Canis lupus familiaris: one gene and its partner. The protein of the gene in region 1 purifies or fractionates together with the protein of each later gene. This does not show direct contact. Links are inferred from orthologs where the notes say so. Each region holds a gene or a part of one and is shown in the gene's direction. Other genes may lie near its edges.

The links.
Region 2: the proteins of LLGL1 (region 1) and PARD6B purify together in Homo sapiens (affinity purification with mass spectrometry; 5 studies listed by BioGRID and IntAct, counting the BioPlex papers as one, with this or other methods). This does not show direct contact. The link is inferred for Canis lupus familiaris from reciprocal best matches to the Homo sapiens genes LLGL1 and PARD6B.

Annotation. Positions count from the first base shown.
Region 1 is NC_049226.1:41,532,893-41,536,696, reverse strand, and holds part of LLGL1 (lethal(2) giant larvae protein homolog 1), read left to right. Parts: intron 1-169; coding exon 170-323; intron 324-397; coding exon 398-502; intron 503-1,218; coding exon 1,219-1,511; intron 1,512-1,828; coding exon 1,829-1,976; intron 1,977-2,203; coding exon 2,204-2,357; intron 2,358-3,804. UniProt on the Homo sapiens protein: Cortical cytoskeleton protein found in a complex involved in maintaining cell polarity and epithelial integrity. Involved in the regulation of mitotic spindle orientation, proliferation, differentiation and tissue organization of neuroepithelial cells.
Region 2 is NC_049245.1:37,729,151-37,733,420, forward strand, and holds the start of PARD6B (partitioning defective 6 homolog beta), read left to right. Parts: upstream 1-1,329; 5' UTR 1,330-1,391; coding exon 1,392-1,457; intron 1,458-4,270. UniProt on the Homo sapiens protein: Adapter protein involved in asymmetrical cell division and cell polarization processes. Probably involved in formation of epithelial tight junctions.

The DNA of each region.
Region 1 (3,804 bases):
CGCTCGGGGTGTGTTTGCTCTTTACAGTAGATGCCTCCTGTTTGCTGTGTGCAGTGGGAGTCTGGTCCGTGCTTGGCATCTGCAGTAGGTGCTCAGTGAGTGGTTGTTGGATGAGTGGATGTGGGGTGCAAGGGGCCCCAGACTGGGCCTGACATCACCTTCCCTGCAGTCATGAGGATGGCACCGTGCGGTTCTGGGATGCCTCAGGTGTGGCACTGCGGCCACTCTACAAGTTAAGCACAGCTGGCCTCTTCCAGACAGATTGCGAGCACGCCGACAGCCTGGCCCAGGCCACCGAGGATGACTGGCCGCCCTTTCGCAAGGTGGGCCCCTCCCCCAGCCCTGGGGAGTCTGGCCCCAGCTCTGCCCCGTGTCATCTCCCCATCCCGCCCCCCAGGTGGGCTGCTTCGACCCCTATAGTGACGATCCTCGGCTTGGGGTGCAGAAGGTGGCACTCTGCAAGTACACGGCCCAGATGGTGGTAGCTGGCACTGCAGGCCAGGTAAGGTGGAGGTGTCATCCAGGTTGGGGTCTCAGAGGGCTTTGTGGAGGAAGTGGGCCTGACCCAGATGGTCTGGTGGAGCAGGAGGGGGACCATCATGGCCAAAAGCCCAGAGATGGAAATGGGGCTCCAGGTGGGGATGGCTGGGGTGAGGTCAGCCAGGGAGGTGGAACCTACTAGGGGGTCTTGAGGGCTAGATTCTGGTTGTTGGGGAACCATGGAGGGTTGGGGCTGTAGTTGAGAGCTCAAGTATTAGGTGAGCTTTGGGGAAGTGGGGTCACTGCTATGCTTCCAGCACTCACACGGTACATAGGTGCTCAGTAGGGACTCATCGTTAGTTGTAAGACAGGCTAACGGGGAATCCTTTGCTTCAGAGGCCAATGGGCCTTGGTTACTGCTGTGCCACTGGCACTTGTGCATTATACAGGAGGTGCTCAGTGTCTGCTTATTACTAAATGAAGACAGGCATGGGGGTAGGGGGCATATTTTGCTGCTAGACGGCAAAGCAGTGGGTCTTGGTCACCGTGTTTCCCAGGGCTTAGTGAAGACCCTAGTATACAGTAGGCAGCCAATAAGTGCTTTTTAAGCAGATGAACTGGAGACCGTACTGGGACCACCCTGGCAAGGACTTTGCAGTATGAGGTAGGGCCTGGGTGGTCTAATACCATCATCCTCCTTGCTGACCCTGCCCCTACCCCACCCCACCGTGGGCTCAGGTGCTGGTGCTGGAGCTAAGTGATGTGCCATCGGAGCAGGCAGTCAGCGTGGCCAGTGTGGACCTCCTCCAGGACCGAGAGGGCTTCACGTGGAAGGGCCATGAGCGGCTGAGTCCACGCACGGGGCCGCTGCCGTGGCCTGCTGGCTTCCAGCCCCGGGTGCTGGTTCAGTGCCTGCCACCGGCTGCTGTGACAGCCGTCACGCTCCATGCCGAGTGGAGCCTCGTGGCCTTTGGCACCAGTCACGGCTTTGGCCTCTTTGACTATCAGCGCAGGAGCCCTGTGCTGGCCAGGTGTGTGGGGGACGGGCCCAGCCTCCTGTGGGAACCCTGGTGTTTCCCTGCAACTGTTGGGGCCTCGATCTCCCCTTCTAAGCTCTCATATGGTAGATAGGGTGACCTGAAGCCCCCTTCCCCTTTGGCAGCTCCGTCCTTATGGGAAGTGTCACTGGTAGAGTTTTAAACCCCTCCCCCACCCCACCCCTGCCAAGCTGCTGGGTTGCAGGACAGCCACACAGGACCTCTAGTTCCTGACCCATGGGGCCAACAGGAGCACAGTGGCTGCTCCAGGAGTCTGCTCTGTGGCCCAGCTGGTACCTTCCTGCCCACAGGTGCACACTACACCCCAACGACTCCCTGGCCATGGAGGGGCCACTGTCTCGGGTGAAGTCCCTCAAGAAGTCTTTGCGCCAGTCTTTCCGGCGCATCCGCAAGAGCCGAGTCTCGGGCAAGAAGCGGGCCACTAGTGCCACCAGCAAGGTGAGCTGGGGCCAGCCTGCCCTGGGTGCCGCCTGTCTACCTCTCAGGGCTGGGCAGAGCAACAGAGTTGGGCACCGGCCCCGGCCTTGGCCCCAAGCCTGGTGTCCACTCCCCATAGTTGCTCTGGCCAGGCTGATCAAGAGGGTGCCGGGCTGCTGGGCACCAGGTTGCGTGGGCGCAGGCAAGGTGTTGGGAAGGCGGCGTCCTGGAGGCCACTGCCTCTCCAGTTGCAGGAGGCCAATGCGCAGCTGGCTGAGCAGGCCTGCCCCCACGATGTGGAGATGACCCCAGTGCAGCGCCGCATTGAGCCCCGCTCCGCCGACGACTCCCTCTCTGGCGTCGTCCGCTGCCTCTACTTCGCTGACACGTTTCTTCGAGATGGTGAGATGGGGAGGATGCACTGGGGAGATGAGCCTTGGTTGGCCATCTAGGAGATACGGGGAGGGGGTGGGACCAGGCCTTATGGGAGGGTAGGGAAGCCTACCACATGCCACACTGAACTGGCTCCCCAAATAGTCCCCGGCCCCCAGAATTCCCATGTGTATGGGGCTGGTGAGGGAGCCTGGTGGGCCTCTGAGATCTGAAGAGGGAGAGGGAGCCCAAGATCTGAGGGAGGGGCATGCGAGGGTCAGCCTCACTGAGGAACCGGCTCTGCCCCTGATGGCTGGGAGCCTCCACAAGGTCCTCTATAGACTGCTGTGGCCTGGTTTATGGACTGATTCGCTGATCAGTTTTTAACTTGTGTAACAGAATTTCAGCCATACTCAAAAATAGGAGTCCGTCACCCTGCACATCCGGCCTGATGCCCCCAGCCATCTGCTGCTGTCACACCATCCCCACCTCATGCTCCATTGTCTATCTTGCTGGAGTGTTGTATAGATTTTATTTATTTATTCATGAGAGACACAGAGAGAGAGGCAGAGACACAGGCAGAGGGAGAAACAAGCTCCCTGCGGGACTCGATCTCAGGACCCTGGGTTCACACCCTAAGCCGAAGGCACATGCTCAATCACTGAGCCACCCAGGCATCCCTTGCTGGAGTATTTTAAATGAAAACCTTTGAGTGAGGACTTGAGTGTGTGTCCAACAGGCATAATCCACAGCCAGGGCACCCACATCGTACCTCGTGGAACCAATGCTGATCCCAGTCCCGCTTGGTCCACTTTGGCTTTCTCCATTTGTCTCAAAAATGCCTTTTTAGGGCAGCCCTGGTGGCGCAGTGGTTTAGCACCGCCTGCAGCCTGGGGTATGATCCTGGAGACCCGGGATTGAGTCCCACATCAGGTTCCCTGCATGGAGCCTGCTTCTCCCTCTGCCTGTGTCTCTGCCTCTGTGTGTGTCTCTATGAATAAATAAATAAAAATCTTTAAAAAAAAATTTTTTTTAAATGCCTTTTTATAGTAGATGTCGGGTCAGCATCTAGTCAGGCGGCCCTTGACCTCACTGAGACAACAACTTCCAGTCCCTGAGTCTGAGAGGGGCACACCCTCCTCCTGGTTTATTTGTATCTTGGGGATCCTCTGTCCAGTGGATCTTCTCACCAGCCAGACTTGGTAGCCCTAGGCCTTTACCTTGGTCCACTGTCCCTGCAAAAAGGCTGATGGGGTGCAGCTTCCCAGGTGGCTGCCTGTCATGGGTCCAGGTGGCATGATGAGTTGCTGACTCTTCCCTGGGGTTTGGCTCCCCCTGACGGTTGTTACTATGGCTGTCAGTTTATCAAGGGCACACACAGCACTGACTAATGGCTCCCTCACATTCAGTTCTGATTCTGCATTGAAGGACCTACCCCAAGTTTCAGCTCACACAGGGAAAGCTGGCCGGACAGCAT
Region 2 (4,270 bases), on another chromosome or scaffold:
CCCCCACCCCCAGGTCAGGCCGGCCCCTCTGCAGGTGGGGGGGGGGGGGCACTGGAGGGTCTCCTCCTCACTTCCCTGGCGCGGCCAGTACTGTTTTAAACAGCCTCCCTGCGAGAAGGAACCGCGCTCTGGGGCATTTAAAACAGAGGGTTGTCTTTTATCAAGGACGGAGTTCTATCGCCCCACGGAGAAAAGAACATTGTCCAGAGGCTGCCGTTGGTGGAAACAGCAAACGGCGAAGAAACGGCTGGAGGAGGGAGAAGACTTCGCGAGCAGAGCCTAACGCAAGCCCTGGGAGGCCGATCCGAAGTCCTGCGCGCGGCCATGCACCCTGGGCCTCCGCCCACTTCCCCTCCCTCGCGGCGCCCTCTCGACCCCCTGGGACCCGCGGACGAAACCGAGCCCGCGGAGCCCCGATGCTCTCCCCCAGTAACTGTTGCAGAGGCGGGAGAACTTTTATTCCGTAGCCAGAGTTGCAGACGGACTCCCGAAGCACCCAGCCGGGCGGTGGAGGGGAGCCTCTGCAACTGCAGCCCCCAAAGCGGACTGCGGCGGGGGCGGGCGCGAAGCCAGCGGCACCTCCGCGCCCCGGGGCCCCGCGGGGCAGCGCGGTCCCACCCCCAGCCCGGCGCGCCCTCGCCCGACCCGGCCCTCGGGCGCGCGCCTGCGCCTGCGCTTGCGCAAAACGCCCCCGCCCCAGCGCCTCTCCAGGTGCGCTCGCGCTTCCGGCCGGCCTTCCCGAGGCGGAAACACCAGAGCCCGCGCATGCGCCTTCCAGCTCTCCTGCTAGGTCCGGGGAGGGGGGCCCAAGGCTTCAGGTGATCCCGCCCCTCCCTCGCAGCGCGGGACCAATCGCGAGGCGGTAGGCGGGATTTTCGCGGAGGCGGCCCGCCCACACGCTCGCGAGGCGGGTTTCGATTGGCTGGCGGCGCGGGCGCAGGTGCGCGCTTCCTATTGGGTGTGGGCGGAGCGCGAGCCGCCGAGGCTTCTGCCGAGGCTGCAGGTGAGCGCGCGCGCGCCGCGGCTCCCTCCCGGGCTCGGGTGCGCGCGCGCGGGCCGGCGGGGGAGGCGGCCGGGAGCGAGCTCGCGGCGCCCGTCGCCTGTGCTCCGCCCCCTCCGCCGTCGCGGCCGCCGCCGAGGCCCGGAGGGAGGGAGTCGCGTCCCCGCCCGCCGCGCAGCCAGTCGGACCCTCGGTGCCGCCGCGAGCAGCCGGCCGAGCGGAGCTCCGCGCCCAGAAGCCGAGTCGCGGCCGCCGCTCTGCAGGTGCCGGTGCGGAGGCGCCCGGGCCGCAGCCGCGTCCCCGGCCCCGGCCCCGTCCCGCCGGCCGCGACTCCCCGCGCTCCCGAGGGGCGGCCCGGCCGCAGGAGGCCGCCGCGGGGCCCGGCCTCAGCATGAACCGCAGCCACCGGCACGGGGCGGGCAGCGGCTGCCTGGGCACCATGGAGGTGAAGAGCAAGGTGCGCGGGCCCGGGGCCGGCGGGGGCGGGGGCGGGGGGCCGGGGCTGCCCGCTGGCTGCGGCCGCGGGGCGTGCGGGGCTGCCCGGTGCACTCGCCGAGAAGCGGGCGAGGGTGGGGCCTTGCGTTTGCTCCCGGCCCAGGTGGGAAGGCCCGCGGAGCCCTTGCCCTCCTGGGGTCTCAGCCCGGGGCGGGGATGGCAGGCGTCTGAGCGCAGTGTGGGCGAAGGCTTGGGGACGTTGTAGCTCCCGGCCTGTGAGTAGCAGGTATTGGAAACACGCGCGGTCACAAAATGTTACCCCTTCCCGTGGTCCAGGGGTGCATCGAGCGGTGAGACGGCGAGCCCAGGGCCCTGAAGAGCCCTTTGAAAGTTGGCTTTGCTTCCTGCTAGGGATTTTTCCAGCACTCCCTTTGGTATGCGTCCTATTTATAAGAATTAACACTATCACCTTTCGTTTGAGTAGCCCTTTACAGTTTGAGGCTGGATGCTCTCTTCATTCCATCGTGCTGCCTTTTCACATCAAGTGTTTTCCTTCCTGACCGACGGTATGCCAGCCTGCTGAAAATTCCGTCCATATCCACTGAATTCCTAAATTGCAAGGCTCCCCGAGCAGGGGAGTCTGTAGGGATTAGTTAGAGAATGCTTTCCAAAGGGGGTTTCGAGCTGGAATTTGAAGGTGATCGGCAACCACAGCAGCATTTTCAGCAAGCATTTTGTGAGTTGAAGAGCCAAAGGAGCTCAGATAATCTAGTTTGATTCTCTTGAGAAAACGGAGGGGTCAGAAAGGTTATGACTTCGCCAGGCTCTGCTTTTATGACAAAACCTGGAAGGCTTTTTACAGATAACTTCTAGACTCTGTAGAACAAACGTGTTTTTGAGAACATTAAAAACAGTTAACAAAACCAAGACACAAGAATGGGAGAACAGTACGAGCAGATCAGCTTCAAAAATAACGAAACACCATTGAGTGTAAGACTACAGAGGGCAAATCCAAAATCAGGGAGTGGTTTTGAGTGAAGTGGAGTAAGAAAAGCTCCCCGGAGCCTGGGGGTGGAATGGTTTTATCTAGAGCTGATAAGCAAAGTTCTGTGAGTTGCTGGGAACTGAGATCTTCACATCAAGAGTATCTACATTCATTTTAAACATCGTTTGAAAATGTTATTTGTGACCTCTGGAGCAGGATAGGCAAGTGGGTTCACAGAAACCGTTCTGCTTAATAAGAATAGAAATGTAATTATAGCAATTTAAGGACTGTGTTTTTTCTTTCCTGTGCCCTGCACAGAATCACTAGAGCAAATTGAAGGGACATGGCTTGAGCTAAGGGTTAAGATGACTCCAAATATACAGGATTTTTCCTCGAGCGGTATAGCAGCGGTAGTGGTTCTGTGCCCACTGGTTGAACTTTCTCAGGCATTTCTGCCATAAATCTAGTTTGCGTCTGTGGGGGTTGAGGTTAAGAAAAGAAAAACACTTATGATATTGCATAATCTTAAAATTCAGTTTGTGGTCCTAATCTTGGTAACAAGTCTTGAACTTTTTATCGTAGGAAAAAAATGAGTAGAGAGTCTAGGTGCACCGATAAATACAATCAAATGGTAATTTATCTCCTGGACTAGAAACCTGGAGCACTTTTGGGACTGGAATTTCAGGCTTTCTGCCCTTTCTCTTCTCTCAACTGACCTGTGAATCTTTCCCACACTTACATCTGTACTACACGTTGTATATTTGAGCTGCCATGCTGCACTCGTAGTGAACCATGTCTCTTAAATAGAATCGAGGCATTCTGAGGACCTGCACCAAATGAGGTGTGGTTCCTCTTGTTGTTCTAGATCTTGCTGAATAGACACAATATTAGGTACTGTTTTTAGCATCTGTGACACTGTTTTAAATAGATATTGTTGAGACATTTATTTTTAGTGGATTAAATGAAACACTTGTCATCTTTATCATTTAAAAAGTATTTAGACAGATGTTTGAAACAATATTTCTCTTTGTCCCTGCCTTGGTGATATCACAGCTTTTTTCAAAACTGATTGTCGGGAAGTTGTAACCACAGCCAGGTAACGTGCAGATCCACATTTCAAGATCTCTTTTTCTTCTGCATAGAAAACAGTGTCAACTGTATCATCTGAGCAGAGCTGGGGAAGTTCTTAATAATGAAGGTGATATCCCTCAGTAACCTTGGAACAGTCTTTGGGCCGTACATTTTCTACTTATTATTCATGGGCAAACAGCATTAAAATTAACTTTGCATTTCTCGAATGTACCAACAGATGCTGGGAGAAGGCCACATCCTGGGTGGCCAGGACAAACTAGATTGGCCTAAAGAGTTATAAATGGTTCATGTAGTGAAAAGTTGTTGACTCGGTCTTAATTTTATGTCTGTCTTAGTATTTTTCTTCATGTAGTAAAACGTTCTCTTAATCCTATTGTTTCTCTGCAAGAAGCATAACAGTTTCTCTTGTTTGGTTTTGTTTTCTGCTAACATTTGCAAAAGGGCACATCTGCTATGAAGCCATACAGTTTTTCATTGTTTTTATCATAACCTATAAGGAAGAGAAATACATGTTGAGCAAAGGATTTTCACCCAAAAGCTTTAACAAAGACGCTGGAGCCCTGCGATGTTCAATTGTTAGATGTTAACTTTCATTCACGTACCTGGAGAAGTGATAAACCCTGGCATGAATCAGAAAGCACTAGGAGCTTTGCATTGTGATACCAGAATAAAGAACATGGAGGAGAAACTGACTTTTGATAACATCATAAGACTAGCTCTGATATGAAGGGTGTTGCCGAGTTTTTATTTACTTTGAA